2 linked regions of the Arabidopsis thaliana genome follow. The protein of the gene in region 2 interacts with the protein of the main gene of each other region in a biochemical or structural test. Each region holds a gene or a part of one and is shown on either strand. Other genes may lie near its edges.

Region 1 (7,646 bases), 1.4 Mb from region 2:
ATGTATATGTGTGAGTCTTTTATAATTCGAATCTTCTGCTCAGATATATGAATTTATTCTCATAGATTACAAGAATCTCTGAAGTCTGACATGTGAATTTCTCATAAAATCATCACCGCAGAAGAAGAAATTATCCAAAACGAAATTTGAAGGAAAATACTAAAAAATCGAAAGAAAAGAAGAGAGATCAGAGTTTGGTTAAGAATTTTTTCGGTCACGGTTAATCTGAAACACGGACCAATTTGTTGATCATCATATCTCTCGTTTCAAACAAAACAATCAAAACAGAAGAAAATCAAATCGAAAAAGATCTAGTTGAAAACGATTAAGATCATCAGAGACTTAAATACTAATAATCACAAAGATTACTCCATCATATTGTTGCAGTATTACCTCATCACCTGATCTCAATTTTGCATTATCTATACGGACCAATACATCATAACTCGAAAACCAAAGATCTAAAGAAAACTAAACTGAAGATAAAATACGAACTTGAACAGAGAACCCTAAACTGACTTGATAAGAGCTTGATGTCTGTCAAAGTCATGTGTGGTTTGTATATAAAGGTCCCCAATGGCGGCGATTCTTAGGTTTCTCGAGGAAAACCCTAACGCTTATGGGTCGTATATGAGCTTCATAAGGCCCATTATAATAAACCTCTTTTGACCCATAAAAACCCCAAACCAATACTCAATTAGCTTATATGGATGGGCTTGACTGAAAATTTACAACTTCTCATTTTTGGTTTGATTCAAGAAAAAACAAAATATTAATTTTAAAAAAAAATATGTACTTGGAACAAAATAATTTGTAAGAAAATCTACATCTATTTAAGGCTTGAAGTCATTGGATCCTATTTTAATGGAAGACAAGATCAAAATTTATATCCTTTTTTTGGGGAGTAGATATAAACTTTTAAGCTTAATTTAGCATGTTTTGTAGTAAATCCAAAACTGGATAAAATCTAATTTCAAACTCAACTAATTCTGTTCATTTTATCTTTAAACAAGTTCAAACACTTGAAACAATAGCTTCATACATACGCAAAAGAAACAAACACACAACAAAATTGATAGAATAAAATAAGTTTGGTATTAAAGAAGATATAATCGTAACAAGATTCAAAACTTAAGTAATGACATCGCTACAAAGATCAGCTGTTTCGTTCCGACGTCAAGGTTCTTCGGGTCGTATTTGGAGTGATCAATTCATCTTAGATCAAAAAAATGGAGCAATTCTTCAAAATCATCTAGAACAAACCGGAAGAAATAGTAATGATCTTGAAGATAAAAATCCATCACAGAAATCAAGTTCTTCGTCATCTTCTTCATCACCACCTCCATACTTTTCTGAAATACGTAGAGGACCAGACATCTCATCTTCTACACGAAACAAACTCGCTTGTGGTTTATCATCACTTTTCCGACAATGTATCGGTTCTTCGGCTCGTGCTTAATTTTGTTCAATGCTTGACGCAAATCTGTACATATATTTTCTTGTTATATGAAAAATTCATCACAATTTTTTCCGACCAAACAGAGTTCTTGATAAATGGGCCTATTATTTTAAAAAGCCCAATAGATATTTGAGTGTCCGGCCCAAATTGAAGTAGAATAAAAGATAAGTTACCAATTTACCAGTAGTTAGCAGCAAACACACAGAGAAAGTGAAACATCGAAGAGACCCCAGAATGCAAAATCTCTCTCCGCCTTTTTCTCCTTCCTTATTCGAAAATTCTCAGCGTCTTTGTTGCAAACTCCTCTGAAATTCTCCGTCTTCTTCATTCGTTTTCGACTCTGCGTTCTACTACTTCTCGTCTCCTATCAGTATCATCGCAATTCATATTCAGTCTAGTGTGTTAAACCGGAGAATTTGGAGTCTCGCCGGAATTTTCCTCTGTCTATGTATGATTGCCGGTGATCAAAGCGCTTCTTAACGATTCTGTTCTCCTTTGAGAGATCTGAGTATCTGATTTCATCTACTACATATGTTTTCTCGAGAGTGATAGAAAGTAGGTCTCATACATATTTTTCCTCTGGAGGGAATTTTGATCCTCTGCTTCGTTAATTAACTTGTGATGAAGCGGATAAGAGATGATGTATATGCCTCTGGGTCTCAATTTAGACGTCCTCTTGGTTCTTCTCGAGGCCAATTGTGAGTTTCTCTAAATTCACCCTTCAAATTTCGGTTTTGATCTTGGTTCTGTTTTGTGGCGATTAGGTTTTCTATAATTCTGCATGGAGAGTGACAAATATTTGTTATGAATTGAGTAGTTTTAAGTAATCGATTAGAGATGATTTGGTGCAGATGTGGACAATCTCCGGTCCACGGCAGTGGTGACACCGAAGAAGAAGAAGAAGGAGGGAGCCGGAGAGTCTCTCAGAAATTGACAACCAATGATGCGTTGTCGTACCTGAGGGAAGTAAAAGAGATGTTTCAAGATCAACGCGAGAAATATGACAGGTTCCTCGAGGTTATGAAAGATTTTAAGGCTCAAAGGTTAGCTCTTTCACTCTCTATCGACTTCAAAGTTCAAGTAAGTTTTAGTAGGCGGCATTGTATTAATTCTTCGTCTTGCATTTTCAGAACCGACACAGGCGGTGTGATCGCAAGAGTTAAGGAATTGTTTAAGGGACATAATAATTTGATTTATGGATTCAACACCTTTTTGCCTAAGGGATATGAAATTACGCTTATTGAGGAAGACGACGCTCTGCCAAAGAAGACTGTTGAATTCGAACAAGCCATCAATTTTGTGAATAAAATTAAGGTGCTGTCGAAATCTTGGTCTTATATTTCTCTTTTGAAGTGCGCTTACATCTTGTGTCTCAATGTACAAGTTTCTTTTTTCTCACTGCAGATGCGATTCAAGCACGATGAACATGTCTATAAATCTTTCTTGGAAATCTTGAATATGTACCGAAAGGAGAACAAGGAAATTAAAGAGGTGTACAACGAGGTAATATACTTCATCTCACCTGTAATGCCACTCCAAACTTTTTCTAACCTTCGAATATCTATGCTCCAGGTATCTATTCTTTTTCAAGGCCACTTGGATTTGCTTGAACAGTTTACTAGGTTTTTGCCAGCGTCTTTGCCATCTCATTCAGCAGCGCAGCATAGCCGGAGTCAGGCTCAACAGTACAGCGACCGAGGATCAGACCCTCCTCTACTTCATCAAATGCAAGTGGAAAAGGTTCGTTTGATCTTTGTTTCATATTTTTCCTTGTTCTATTTTTTGCCACGTATCTCAATTTTGTTCCCGCTACAACTTTTTATCACCAGGAACGCCGACGAGAAAGGGCTGTTGCTCTCCGCGGTGATTATAGTGTTGAACGTTATGACCTTAATGATGATAAAACGATGGTGAAGATTCAAAGAGAGCAGCGGAAGCGCCTTGATAAGGAGAACAGGGCAAGGAGAGGCCGTGATTTGGACGATAGAGAAGCAGGTCAAGATAACCTACACCATTTTCCAGAGAAAAGAAAGTCGTCCAGAAGAGCTGAAGCTCTTGAAGCATATTCTGGTTCTGCTTCACATTCTGAGAAAGACAATTTGAAAAGTAAGCTAACTCCTGTGTCAAACATTTTTTTATTTGCTTGGTACCTTTTCTATTTTTTAAGAGTCCCAAACATTGGACACCTTAATTCTTTCTCTTTGAGAGAGAATTTATTTTCCAATTTTGGTTGCATGGTGATCTTTAAGGTGCGAAGATCTGCTTCTGTTTTCTAAGATGTTTACTTTGTGTTAGGTATGTACAAACAAGCATTCGTTTTCTGTGAGAAAGTCAAGGATAGACTATGCAGCCAAGATGATTATCAGACATTCTTGAAGTGCCTCAATATTTTTAGCAATGGAATAATCCAAAGGAAGGATCTGCAAAACTTGGTATTGCAATTTGTGATCAGGGGTTGATCTTGTGGTAACGTTCAGGAAGTTGTATTAAATCCCATTCATTTTCTTTCAGGTTTCTGATCTTCTTGGGAAATTTCCTGATCTGATGGATGAGTTCAACCAGTTCTTCGAGCGGTGTGAGAGTATTACTGGTACTGAAATACGTATTGTTATTTTAATAGTTATTACATATCAGCAATCTTCTTCTTTCTGACGGTCATCCTCTTTTTGTAGATGGATTTCAGCGTCTTGCTGGTGTTATGAGCAAAAGTATGCTGCTATTTTAAACTTCCCAGCTGTGAATAATATTGTCTCTTTCCCTCCTACTTTGTAAAATCTTTACTGACATTGCTGGTACACTTGGCAGAATTATTTAGCAGCGAAGAACAGTTATCCAGGCCAATGAAGGTGGAAGAGAAAGAAAGTGAACACAAGCCTGAACTCGAGGCTGTGAAGGAAACTGAGCAATGCAAGAAGGAGTACATGGGAAAATCTATTCAAGAGCTCGATCTCTCTGATTGCGAGTGTTGCACTCCTAGCTACCGGCTTCTGCCTGCGGATGTAAGCTTCTATTTCCAAGTTGCATTTTGAGCATGTTCATTGGATTTTTACTTACTGTAATATTATATTTGCAGTATCCGATACCAATTGCGAGTCAGAGATCGGAGCTAGGAGCTGAGGTTTTAAATGATCATTGGGTATCTGTCACTTCCGGAAGTGAAGATTATTCTTTTAAGCACATGCGCAGAAACCAATATGAAGAGAGCTTGTTCAGATGCGAAGATGATAGGTATTTATATTGACAACATACATATTATAGTTTGAAGTAATTGGTCATTTATGTTAATTACTGCTTATAACAGATTTGAGTTGGACATGTTGCTGGAATCTGTGAGCTCTGCGGCCAGAAGTGCAGAAAGTTTGTTGAACATCATCACAGAGAAGAAAATAAGTTTTTCTGGCTCCTTCAGGATCGAAGACCATTTTACGGGTCTGTATGCTTTTTTGGGACCATTTTACAGTTCGTAGTTATATCTTCTCTCTTCCCCTATTTAGGTGTCCTCATATGTTTGGTTATTAACTTTACCATTTTCTTATTGACATATTTACAGCCCTAAATTTAAGGTGTATTGAGCGACTTTATGGCGACCATGGTCTTGACGTGATAGACATATTAAATAAGAATCCAGCCACTGCACTTCCTGTAATCCTAACTCGTTTAAAGCAGAAACAAGGTGAATGGAAGAAATGCCGTGACGATTTTGATAAGGTCTGGGCGAACGTATATGCAAAAAACCATTACAAGTCACTTGATCACCGCAGCTTCTACTTCAAGCAACAAGATTCAAAGAACTTGAGTGCAAAATGTAAGTAGACTTATAGAAGTCGTAAGAAGATTTATATTCAAGTAGTTCCTTTATCCTGTTTTATCGCTCACATACATCCGGCAGTGCTATTTTTCCTTTCACTTATTCCTTTCTCATTCTGTTTTTTTATTGCTTCGTGAACCAGCATTGTTGGCTGAAATTAAGGAGCTGAAAGAGAAGTCTCAGAATGATGATGATGTTCTGTTGTCTATTTCTGCTGGTTACAGACAACCTATAAATCCTAATCTTGAATATGAGTATTTGAACAGAGCTATTCATGAAGACATGTTCAAAGTAGTCCAGTTTTCATGTGAGGAGTTATGTTCTACAAAAGAACAGCTCAGTAAAGTTCTGAGGCTTTGGGAAAATTTCCTGGAGGCAGTGCTGGGTGTTCCTCCCAGGGCCAAGGGCACAGATCTTGTTGAAGATGTTGTAATAAACCCCAAGACTCTCGATGTGAATCACAGCACATCTCCTAACGGGGAGGCTGCTGTGAGTTCTGGAGGAGACACAGCAAGGTTGGCTTCTAGGAAACTTAAATCTGCTGCCAATGGAGATGAGAATTCTTCATCTGGGACATTCAAACATGGGATAGGTTTGTTAAATAAAGATTCGACAGGGAAAGAAAATCTTGAAGATGTTGAAATAGCTAACAGAGATGGTGTTGCCTGCTCTGCTGTGAAACCTCAGAAAGAACAAGAAACTGGAAATGAAGCCGAGAAAAGGTTTGGAAAACCTATCCCAATGGATATTAGCGAAAGAGCAGCCATCTCGAGTATATCAATCCCAAGTGGGGCAGAAAACAATCATTGTGTAGTAGGCAAGGAAGTTTTGCCAGGTGCCTTCCAGATTTAAGCTATTTAATTTTATTTGTGCTGCTTGATTATTTGTGTTGATATTTGTTACTTTACAATTAAGGTGCACATGAGATTCAAGCCAAACCAAGCGACACCCTCACTGATATTCATCATGATGTAGATAGCATTGAAACTGTTCATTCGACTCAGGTACTAGTACTACAATCAATTGCTCGTTGTACCATATTTACACCATTCAGTTGCTCGTTGTACCATATTTATATATTCGCCTAAACCCACTATTACCTGGAGGTTTCCATAGCTTAGGGATGTAAAAATTTACAGTACTACCTATGGGACCCAGGGGTGTAAAAATTTAAAATGTGTCTTATATTATAATTATGCTTTCCGGACCCTTCTGACTCTGTCATATTACTAGGGAGGTGATGTTGGCAATTCGATAGTTTTGGCAAATGGATTAAGGTCAGATTCTTCTAAAGGTACTAGGAATTCTGATGATCCCGAAGGTCCCTCCAGAAATGAGAAAGAGGAAGGTGAACTGTCACCTAATGGTGATTTTGAAGACAACTTTGGTGTTTACAAAGATCATGGGGTGAAGTCCACATCCAAACCAGAGAATTCAGCAGAGGCTGAAGTAGAGGCAGATGCTGAAGTAGAGAATGAGGACGATGCTGACGATGTTGATAGTGAAAATGCTTCCGAGGCATCTGGAACTGAATCTGGTGGCGACGTATGTTCTCAGGACGAAGATAGAGAGGAGGAGAATGGTGAGCATGATGAGATCGATGGTAAAGCTGAGAGTGAAGGAGAAGCGGAGGGAATGGATCCACATCTCTTAGAAGGAGAAAGTGAGCTGCTTCCACAGTCAGAACGTGTTCTCTTATCCGTCAGACCCCTTTCAAAGCATGTCGCAGCAGTTTTATGCGATGAGAGAACAAAAGATCTCCAAGTTTTCTATGGGAATGACGACTTTTATGTTCTTTTTAGGCTTCACCAAGTGAGTTACCTAATTATTTATTGAAATTGATTCTCTCTAGCAAAGATAACGTGGTGCATTTTCAGATCCTGTACGAGAGAATTTTGTATGCAAAAAGGAATTGCTCAGGCGGTGAACTGAAATCGAAAAACTTAAAGGATACCAATGCCGGAGATCCTTATGCGAGGTACCTTCCTTTGTACAACTTTTTATACTAGCCTATGTAGATAATCATATACATGTTGTTCCCATCAAAATCTGATCTGTGTGTTGTACAGGTTTATGAGGGTTTTGTATGGTTTGCTAGATGGATCAGCTGAAAATACCAAGTTTGAGGATGAGTGCAGAGCTATAATTGGAAACCAATCATATGTGTTATTCACGTTGGACAAACTGATTTACAGATTGGTTAAGCAGGTGTTACTCACACTAGTGGTTTAGGACAATTTTTTTTATGTTATCGACATTATGTTACCTTCCTTGTGATGTTCTAATATTATCCATCTGCAGCTTCAAGCTATTGTAGCCGATGAAATGGACAACAAGCTGCTTCAGTTGTATGAGTATGAGAAATCCCGGAAACCAGGA
Region 2 (7,729 bases):
TCGTGATGTTTGACCATAGAGCTGCGTAATAGCTGATTTTTGCCAACCAACTCTAAGGCTTCTTGGATCATTGTGTTCACATCTTCCCCTTCCTTCACAGATGATGCAGCCTAGAAACCGTAGAGTGACCATAACTTAGCAAAACATATGTATGTTCGAGAATCTAGAAAAGTGGATGAATCGATACCTTTATAGCTGCATCCACCATTGCTTGCGCTCTTGTTTTTGAACCCTTGACAATTTCTAGCATCTCTGGCTCCATTTCCTTGTCACACAGCACAAGAATAAGTGTATTCAAGATTAATCAGAAGGAATGAATTACGTGGGCACTCAAAGGTCCATTTATTATGATCCTATTCGATTTCCAAAACATTTGAACAAATGTACCGATATGAAAAATAGAATATCAGTAATCCATTACCTTTTCATCTAAAGCATGCTGTAGCGCTTGTGCCCGTTGAATCTCAGCTTCTTTTGCTTTGTTATAAGTTGTGATATATGAATGATTAGTCTGCCGTGGACTACTAGTGTTGCTTGATACTTTACCATGCAGAATGGGAGCAATCATATCACCCTGTAGAGAATTTATGAATTAGGCATAAAATTTACATGAACATGCACAGGAGGATCTAGGAAGGTTTACAGGCTTTGACAGAAGTAGTCAAACTTCCATCTTTCCCTACCTGATTCAGAGGAGGATTCATGGAAAAGCTGACATTTTCAAGTCCGCAAGGAGGGAATAGCACAGACACACCAAGGTTTGTATTCCCGCTTAGCTGTGCTTCTTTCTTCATAGACAAGCACTTATCAATTTGCCTCCTTAGACCCTCTGGCATGTATTCCAGTGGATTTAAAGGCATGCAATCAATGTCCTGTCACAAAAGGAGATGATCAAACAACTGAGACCTTATTTTACCAATAAATCATTGTGTATATGGAACTGGTATTGTATTTGAACTACCATAACCAACTCAACGCCCAAGTCATCGAAGAGAACATTGCATTTGTTATGATCAACAGTGAGAATTTTTCCATCATGAATCTCCCGTGTTTTGGGATGGATGGCAATGACTCTGTTCCCAACTGCTAATGGCCGAGCCAAATCTGTAGGAAGCCCCTCCCTAGCACCCGTTCGAAGCTCTGTATAATGCTTTCGCACAGATTCGCGGTACTGTTTAAGTTTCTCCCGCTCTTCATGTAAAAATCTCTCAGAGAATCTTCGTGGTCTACCAAGAGAACTGCAAAAAAACGAAAGAAACCTTTTATAATCTACCTATATTCTCTGGAAGTATCCAATAACATAACTTGAACAAACCTTTTAATGACGCTCCATTCAAGACGAGTAAGTCTTGGAATGTGACCAAGCCCCACGTGATTTAGGTAATCGACAAACTCCATCTTTGAAAACCAGGGATGGTCGATAGCACTATAAAACCATTCAAATATGCACCTTCGACGTGCAAAGGGAAACGACAGAGAAGTAGCAAGCTTATCCTGAAATTGGAATAAACAAATATATAGATGTACAAGATACTGATGTGCGTAGGAGAAGTGAAGTTAGAGGCTCCACCTTTAACAACAACTCTTGTTCTGAAAGAGATCTGGAACTACGTGCAGCTTTATGAGTGGTTTCAGAAGATTTAGCCTTTTCTTGTAAGCTTTTCTGCAGACTCTTCTTTCGCCTGTTTGGAGGTTTCTGCGATAAACTGGTTGGACCCGAGTCAGAAACTTGTTTAGGTGACGCTACTATATCCATCCCAGGTCTTTTCTTATCACTTGTTATAGCAGATTCCTCCAACGCCTTAACAGTTTTCATCTGTTTTGACTGAGCCGGAACTTGACCAGCGCGTTTTGTTTTAACCAAAGACTTCATATTATTCTCATCTTGAGGCAATTCCTGCAACATAAAAAACCAAATCATATGAGGTAATGTTTTCTTCAGAATCACAAATTTGAATACTCAATATGCATTTTTAATAAAGATCTCGAACTTGTTTCAAAGGATAGAAAACAGAGATCACGGAGTTCAACTAAGGTCAAAAAATTTATGTACAAGGAAGCAATATAGGACTTGCAACGGGTTTCAACTAATTCAACATACACACAGACTACCTTCTTGTTTATGGATTTGTTCTGACTAAACTCTGCTGGAGCTTCATCCCCTAGTACCTGAAAATAGAGCACAATTAACATTTACAGCTAAAAGATGCCTAGAAGAAAGAGCACAGATTAAGAGAACTATCTTGCTAACCTTTGGTTTACGTTTTCTTAAACTGCCACTAGTTTGTGGTTGTAGCTTCCCTGTGGGAACATCATCACAATCAGTGGATACCAGCCTTGAAGGTTTTGACTTTCTCTTGTTAGCATTCTCAACAGAAGAAATTGCATGAAGGAGACTATCATCTGGCTCTACATTTGCTTTTTCCCCATGACTGCTTGTGGAAGTAGCTTCTGGTGTGCTAGATTTCTCGTCCATGTCGTATTCTGTTCTTTCTTCCTTCAACTGAGCAGATAATTCTGGACCCAATGCAATTTAGTTAAATTTAACAAATACAGACAGGTAAAGGCCCTAATGCGAACAGTGAACACTGCAGAATTAACCCAATCTATATAATGAGAATATCTAGAAAAAAAAAACATAAGTTTCAGGTATATTGAAGTTACAAGCAAAACCACACAAAACTCACCTGACTCCATCAAATTTGCTGGAAGCATTGAAGCTGACAATTCGGCCAATGCTTGCAGGGCATCAAAAGCTACACAGGAAAAGACTGGCAATAAGTTTCAGATCCGCATAAGTTTTCAGCAGAATATGAAGATAGTTAGTTTGAATGGACAATGCAGAAAAGATAAATAATCAAATATAACAACAGTAGAGCTTGCAAACGAAAATATGTTAAATATCTCTAACTTTCCTTACAGAAAGGGGTAACATTGAAATTAAAATCAGGCTTCAAATTACATTAGTTTTTACCTCCGGAAGTATGTTTGTCATCTCTTTTCTTTGGGCTGCGCGGTGAGTATTTCTCTCTTGAGGCTTCAATAGCAGCCTTTCGTCTTTGTGATTTACTTCTGAGCCCTTGTGTGGCACTGCATGCTTCTCCATTGTCATCAGAATCATTACATTCTGCTTCTTCGACTTTCACTCTTTTCTTGTAGACTCTTTTCCCCTTCCGCGGAGCCTCCATTTCGCCAGCCCTTTCCATATCCATCAACAAGGTAGTATCTTTATCAGAGTCAAGTTTCCTTTCTCGGCTACTTTCCATCCACTCCTCGAAAATGGAGCTGCCACAGTGCTTAGACTGAGATTTTCTGGTTCGCGACTAGTCAGAAGCACAAAGTTAAATAGTGTTTTTCAGTGAAGCAAACTCACACAGAAAAGAAATCAAAAAGATAACCGCTTAAAATTTTGTCAAGCTGAGAGATACCATTTTCCCCCAGCTCTTTATCGGTGAGCTATCGCTAAGTTCTGTTCTTCTATTTGGTGATTCAGAAACTTTTGGAGACCCTCCCCTTCTCGATGCATCTGTTAATGCTAACGCTAAAAAATGTGCTACATCATCATTGGCATCGAATTGCTTCCTGGCTCTTTTATTTGGTGGAGTAGAGCCTTCTCTATCATCCCTCATAAATGAAGTTTGTACAGGAACCCGTGGTGTACGTTTTCCAGTGGCATGTCGCTGAGTTCCTACATGAACTAAGAAATAAAGTTACACGATCTTGAACGAATTGGTTTACAGGTACTAGACAGATGGATATCTATTCCTGGACTATACAAAGTCAATAACAAATGCAGAACAAGTAATCAACTTCCTAACCTGCTTAAATCATAGAGTAATCATTTGATTTAGCTTCTTCAGACGAAAATAAAAATTAGAAAACTGAGTTAACACAATGTAGCACTTTACCATTAGCTCGTGCTTGCTTCAAAAACGTGAGGCATCCATCTGGTGAACCAATTGACTGTTGTATATCCACTTCCTCTGGAGAATCGCTACGTTGAGGTTTAGCACGTTTGCGCTTTTGTTGTTTCCTTGGTACTTCTGAAGCATCATGGCCTTCTCCTTCACTGCCACTCCCTTCCTAGAAGAAATATCATATGAATGAGTTACAAATCGGTCCACATAACTTTATCAAACATACAAACTGGCCCAACAGATAGGCCAGATAGGGTACACAAAACTCAAAGTTTTCAATGTCATTGGTGTTACTGTCTACTCACGTTAACAATGAAAGGTTTTTCACCAACCACCCACATTTTCAACCAAGAAATTTCATTTTCTCATCTACTGGCAGGTCACTTCACATAATATCCTTTGTGTGGCAGCCTTAATAAAATAGATTTCTCACCATGACACTGTAATGATCTGTCATCATCGCAATAAGGCCAGCTACAGAGGCAGTTCCCTCGGGGAGAGATAAATACGCCTGGAAGAAGAAGCATATCTTGTGAATGCAAAGTTATGTAGGTTTTACAACATTTAAACTAAAGCTTGGAAAAGAAACTTGCCACATCGATACTAACTAAAACTGAAACATAGCATGTCCTTACTCATACCCGATTCATATTAAATAGAGCTTCCACCATGTCAACAGACCTGCTATTCCGAATTGCAGCAGCCACCTATACAAAAAACAGTCTTTAAGAACTCTGATTGCCACTGAAACTCACATAAACATATGTGAGTGAAACAGTTATTTACCCTTCTCCACTCTTGTCCGTGCTTGCGGTAAGCATCATAGAAACGCTCAAGTTCTAATCTGGTCCACTGAGGTCCCAGCTTGTCAGACAATTTCTTCTTCTATGATAGGAAAAATAAAGCACAGAATAAATACATCAGAGTAACATCTCATTCAACATTCAAGAAATGAAGACCAATTTACTCACACGTAGCTTATTTTTTTTCGATTTCCCAGCATCTTTTCTTGGGGAAGTTTCATTGGTGAAACGCTTGTTCACACTCCTCGACTTCCTAACTGGTGCCATTTGCACGTTTCTCTGCACAAGTATATTCAAATATATAGTTAGAAACCAAAAAATGCAATTGTGACAAAAGACACACTTTAAACTGATACGGACAAGATACGACACTAAGTCGATAAGCAAATTTGGCTTCCTCTAAGACATGTACAAACTACGAATTTCAACATTTCACCAGGGGAAAAATCAAGACGTTTTTAGGGTTTAGGGTTTAGGGATTAGAGCTAAGAAAAATCAAAACTCTACGTTTTTTAACAAAAGAGTAGAACCAATTCTTGGATCAGTAAAAAGCAGTGTTGGGGAAGATAAATAGCTGCAGTAATCGAGATGAGAGGAAATATTAACGAAAATCAGAATTTGGGTATTTTAAAAAACACACCAAATTAAGGAATCAATTACACACAGTGAAGAAACACGAAAATCATCCACAAAAGTCAGGAGCTTTGACAAAATTTGAGAAAATGTGTTGAGAAAATTGTTTAAATTTCAGATAGTAAAACAAAATCGAATTCGAAACTTCAATCGCTAACCTATAAATATAAATAAAACGCAGATTCTACAAATCTGAAACTGATTCCTCAAAAAAAAAAAAAAAACTTCAATCGAGTGAGCTTCCAAAAATACCCACTAAACCTCAGCTGAGAAAAAACGGAACTCGAGTCAAAAGAAAAAGAGCTAACACAGAAAGTGTTAAAGAATCCAAAAAAAAAATCCGGGAAAATTTTGAGAGTCGAAAGAAGAAAAAATTTGAAACGGAAAAAGGAAAAGCCTTTTAAAAACCCTAATCGAAGCAGATCCACTAACCAATTAGGTGACTTGAAGAGTGAATAGAGAGATACCCGAACCACCGGTGGGTTCGAAAGAGAGATAGAGAAAGCTCGAGCCTTTAGTTTCAAAAAGAGATCGATGAGAAAATATTTGAAACAAGGGTTTTAGAGAGAGAGAAGGCAAATTAAGGAAGAAGAAAGAAAGATTATTATTTGTTTAAAAACAAAAAAAAAAAGGAAGTGAGAGAAAGAGAGAGAGATATAGAAGAATTAGGGAATGAGAAAAATGAGAAGAGAGGTGTTGCCGCGAAACTTGAATACATGGACGACTTCAGCCAATCAGCTTTCCAGATTTGTCACTTTTTTCCATTTTTTCGATTTATTTCTTCCTTTTATTTTGTTTCACTCTTAATATCTGAAGCTAGTGCATGTGTGATCTTGAACGTCCACGTGGATTGTGAGGTTGTTTACATCGTTGGATTGTTTTAGTTTCACTTGTGTGGATTCTGGTATCGGTAGCAGAGGATTATATTTGAAATTACTGGAGTTTTATAAACCGAAAAATATAAATAAAATAATAATGGGGGAAATCAGTTTCTTGAAGATCTTACTAATTGAGTAATTATCCAAGGATAATCATTTTTGGTTAGAGCTTCCCAAAGAAAAAAATATTTGGTTAGATTTGCTAAAACATTTGGTTTTAACAACTTTAGATAGGGTTAATCATTTTTGTTTTTTCTTATAAAAAAAAAATAGATAAACTATTTAAAAACGACAGCGGATTAAATAGACTTGGTTACATCTGATTCTATCTGGCCCAAATAAAAAGCCCAAATACAAACTCATGACCTATAGAAACCCAAAGTAACTTGACATTAATAACGAAGAAGAGAGTTTTCAATTTTGTGATGGATATTATGGCAAGAGGCCAAATCATTAGTCAAAGAGAGCATTGGAAAGACTTGCGCAAGTCAAATTAAGCAACTGAGTTTCGTTTTTTTGCTTTTTGAACAGAGCCAAAGAAGCCATATCAGGATAACCTATAAACTACCACACAAACTCCTAACAAAAAAAAAAAGAAGTAATGATGATTCCAAGCCAATCTTGCTTCTGTTTTTTCTTCATGGTTTCATTCTTTCTACACACTCTTGCTTCTCCTACGCTTCGCCATTGCCGCCATGACCAAAGGAATGCTCTTCTGGAGTTCAAACACGAGTTTCCGCGGGTAAATGAATCCAACCAAATTCCTTATGATGTATCGTTAAGTTCATGGAACAAGAGCATTGATTGTTGTTCTTGGGAGGGTGTCACGTGCGATGCTATATCTAGCGAGGTGATTTCACTTAACCTTAGTCATGTTCCTCTTAATAACTCATTGAAACCAAATAGTGGTCTTTTCAAACTTCAACATCTTCATAACTTAACCCTTAGTAATTGTAGTCTCTATGGAGATATTCCTTCTTCATTAGGAAACCTTTTTCGTCTCACACTTCTTGACCTTTCGTATAATTATTTAGTTGGTCAAGTTCCACCTTCTATAGGAAACCTTTCTCGACTCACAATTCTTGACCTTTGGGATAATAAGTTAGTAGGTCAACTTCCAGCTTCAATAGGAAACCTAACCCAACTAGAATACTTGATCTTTTCACACAACAAATTCAGTGGCAATATTCCTGTTACATTCTCCAATTTAACAAAACTGCTCGTTGTCAACCTCTATAATAATTCCTTCGAATCCATGCTCCCACTTGACATGAGTGGATTCCAAAACTTGGACTATTTTAATGTTGGTGAAAACTCATTTTCCGGGACTTTGCCTAAATCTTTGTTCACAATTCCTTCATTACGTTGGGCTAATTTAGAGGGAAACATGTTCAAGGGACCTATAGAGTTTAGGAATATGTATTCACCATCTACTAGGCTTCAATATCTATTTCTTTCTCAAAACAAATTTGATGGCCCAATCCCTGATACTCTATCC

The links.
Region 1: the proteins of ALY2 (region 2) and SNL1 form a complex in vitro, tested with the Arabidopsis thaliana proteins (one study listed by BioGRID).

The regions. Positions count from the first base shown.
Region 1 is NC_003074.8:104,650-112,295, forward strand, and holds the start of SNL1 (SIN3-like 1), read left to right. Parts: upstream 1-1,644; 5' UTR 1,645-1,646; coding exon of another isoform or gene 1,647-1,787; 5' UTR 1,788-2,080; coding exon 2,081-2,157; intron 2,158-2,310; coding exon 2,311-2,502; intron 2,503-2,589; coding exon 2,590-2,773; intron 2,774-2,863; coding exon 2,864-2,962; intron 2,963-3,031; coding exon 3,032-3,199; intron 3,200-3,288; coding exon 3,289-3,565; intron 3,566-3,754; coding exon 3,755-3,891; intron 3,892-3,970; coding exon 3,971-4,049; intron 4,050-4,131; coding exon 4,132-4,167; intron 4,168-4,264; coding exon 4,265-4,458; intron 4,459-4,532; coding exon 4,533-4,687; intron 4,688-4,760; coding exon 4,761-4,888; intron 4,889-5,009; coding exon 5,010-5,264; intron 5,265-5,409; coding exon 5,410-6,102; intron 6,103-6,182; coding exon 6,183-6,271; intron 6,272-6,500; coding exon 6,501-7,079; intron 7,080-7,144; coding exon 7,145-7,245; intron 7,246-7,336; coding exon 7,337-7,475; intron 7,476-7,568; and 1 more. Other genes in the region: AT3G01319 (uncharacterized protein), read right to left, coding at 1,647-1,787. UniProt on the Arabidopsis thaliana protein: Acts as a transcriptional repressor. A histone deacetylase (HDAC) activity is required for transcription repression. May play a role in telomere stability.
Region 2 is NC_003074.8:1,537,820-1,545,548, reverse strand, and holds the start of ALY2 (ALWAYS EARLY 2), read right to left. Parts: upstream 6,023-7,729; 5' UTR 5,974-6,022; intron 5,968-5,973; exon of another isoform or gene 5,786-5,967; intron 5,578-5,785; 5' UTR 5,512-5,577; intron 5,000-5,511; 5' UTR 4,988-4,999; coding exon 4,889-4,987; exon of another isoform or gene 4,803-4,888; coding exon 4,704-4,802; intron 4,625-4,703; coding exon 4,559-4,624; intron 4,429-4,558; coding exon 4,351-4,428; intron 4,084-4,350; coding exon 3,909-4,083; intron 3,689-3,908; coding exon 3,429-3,688; intron 3,324-3,428; coding exon 2,975-3,323; intron 2,757-2,974; coding exon 2,688-2,756; intron 2,518-2,687; coding exon 2,252-2,517; intron 2,170-2,251; coding exon 2,113-2,169; intron 1,898-2,112; coding exon 1,571-1,897; intron 1,495-1,570; coding exon 1,316-1,494; intron 1,239-1,315; coding exon 962-1,238; intron 873-961; coding exon 684-872; intron 575-683; coding exon 422-574; exon of another isoform or gene 266-421; coding exon 188-265; intron 111-187; and 1 more. Other genes in the region: RLP31 (receptor like protein 31), read left to right, coding at 6,833-7,729.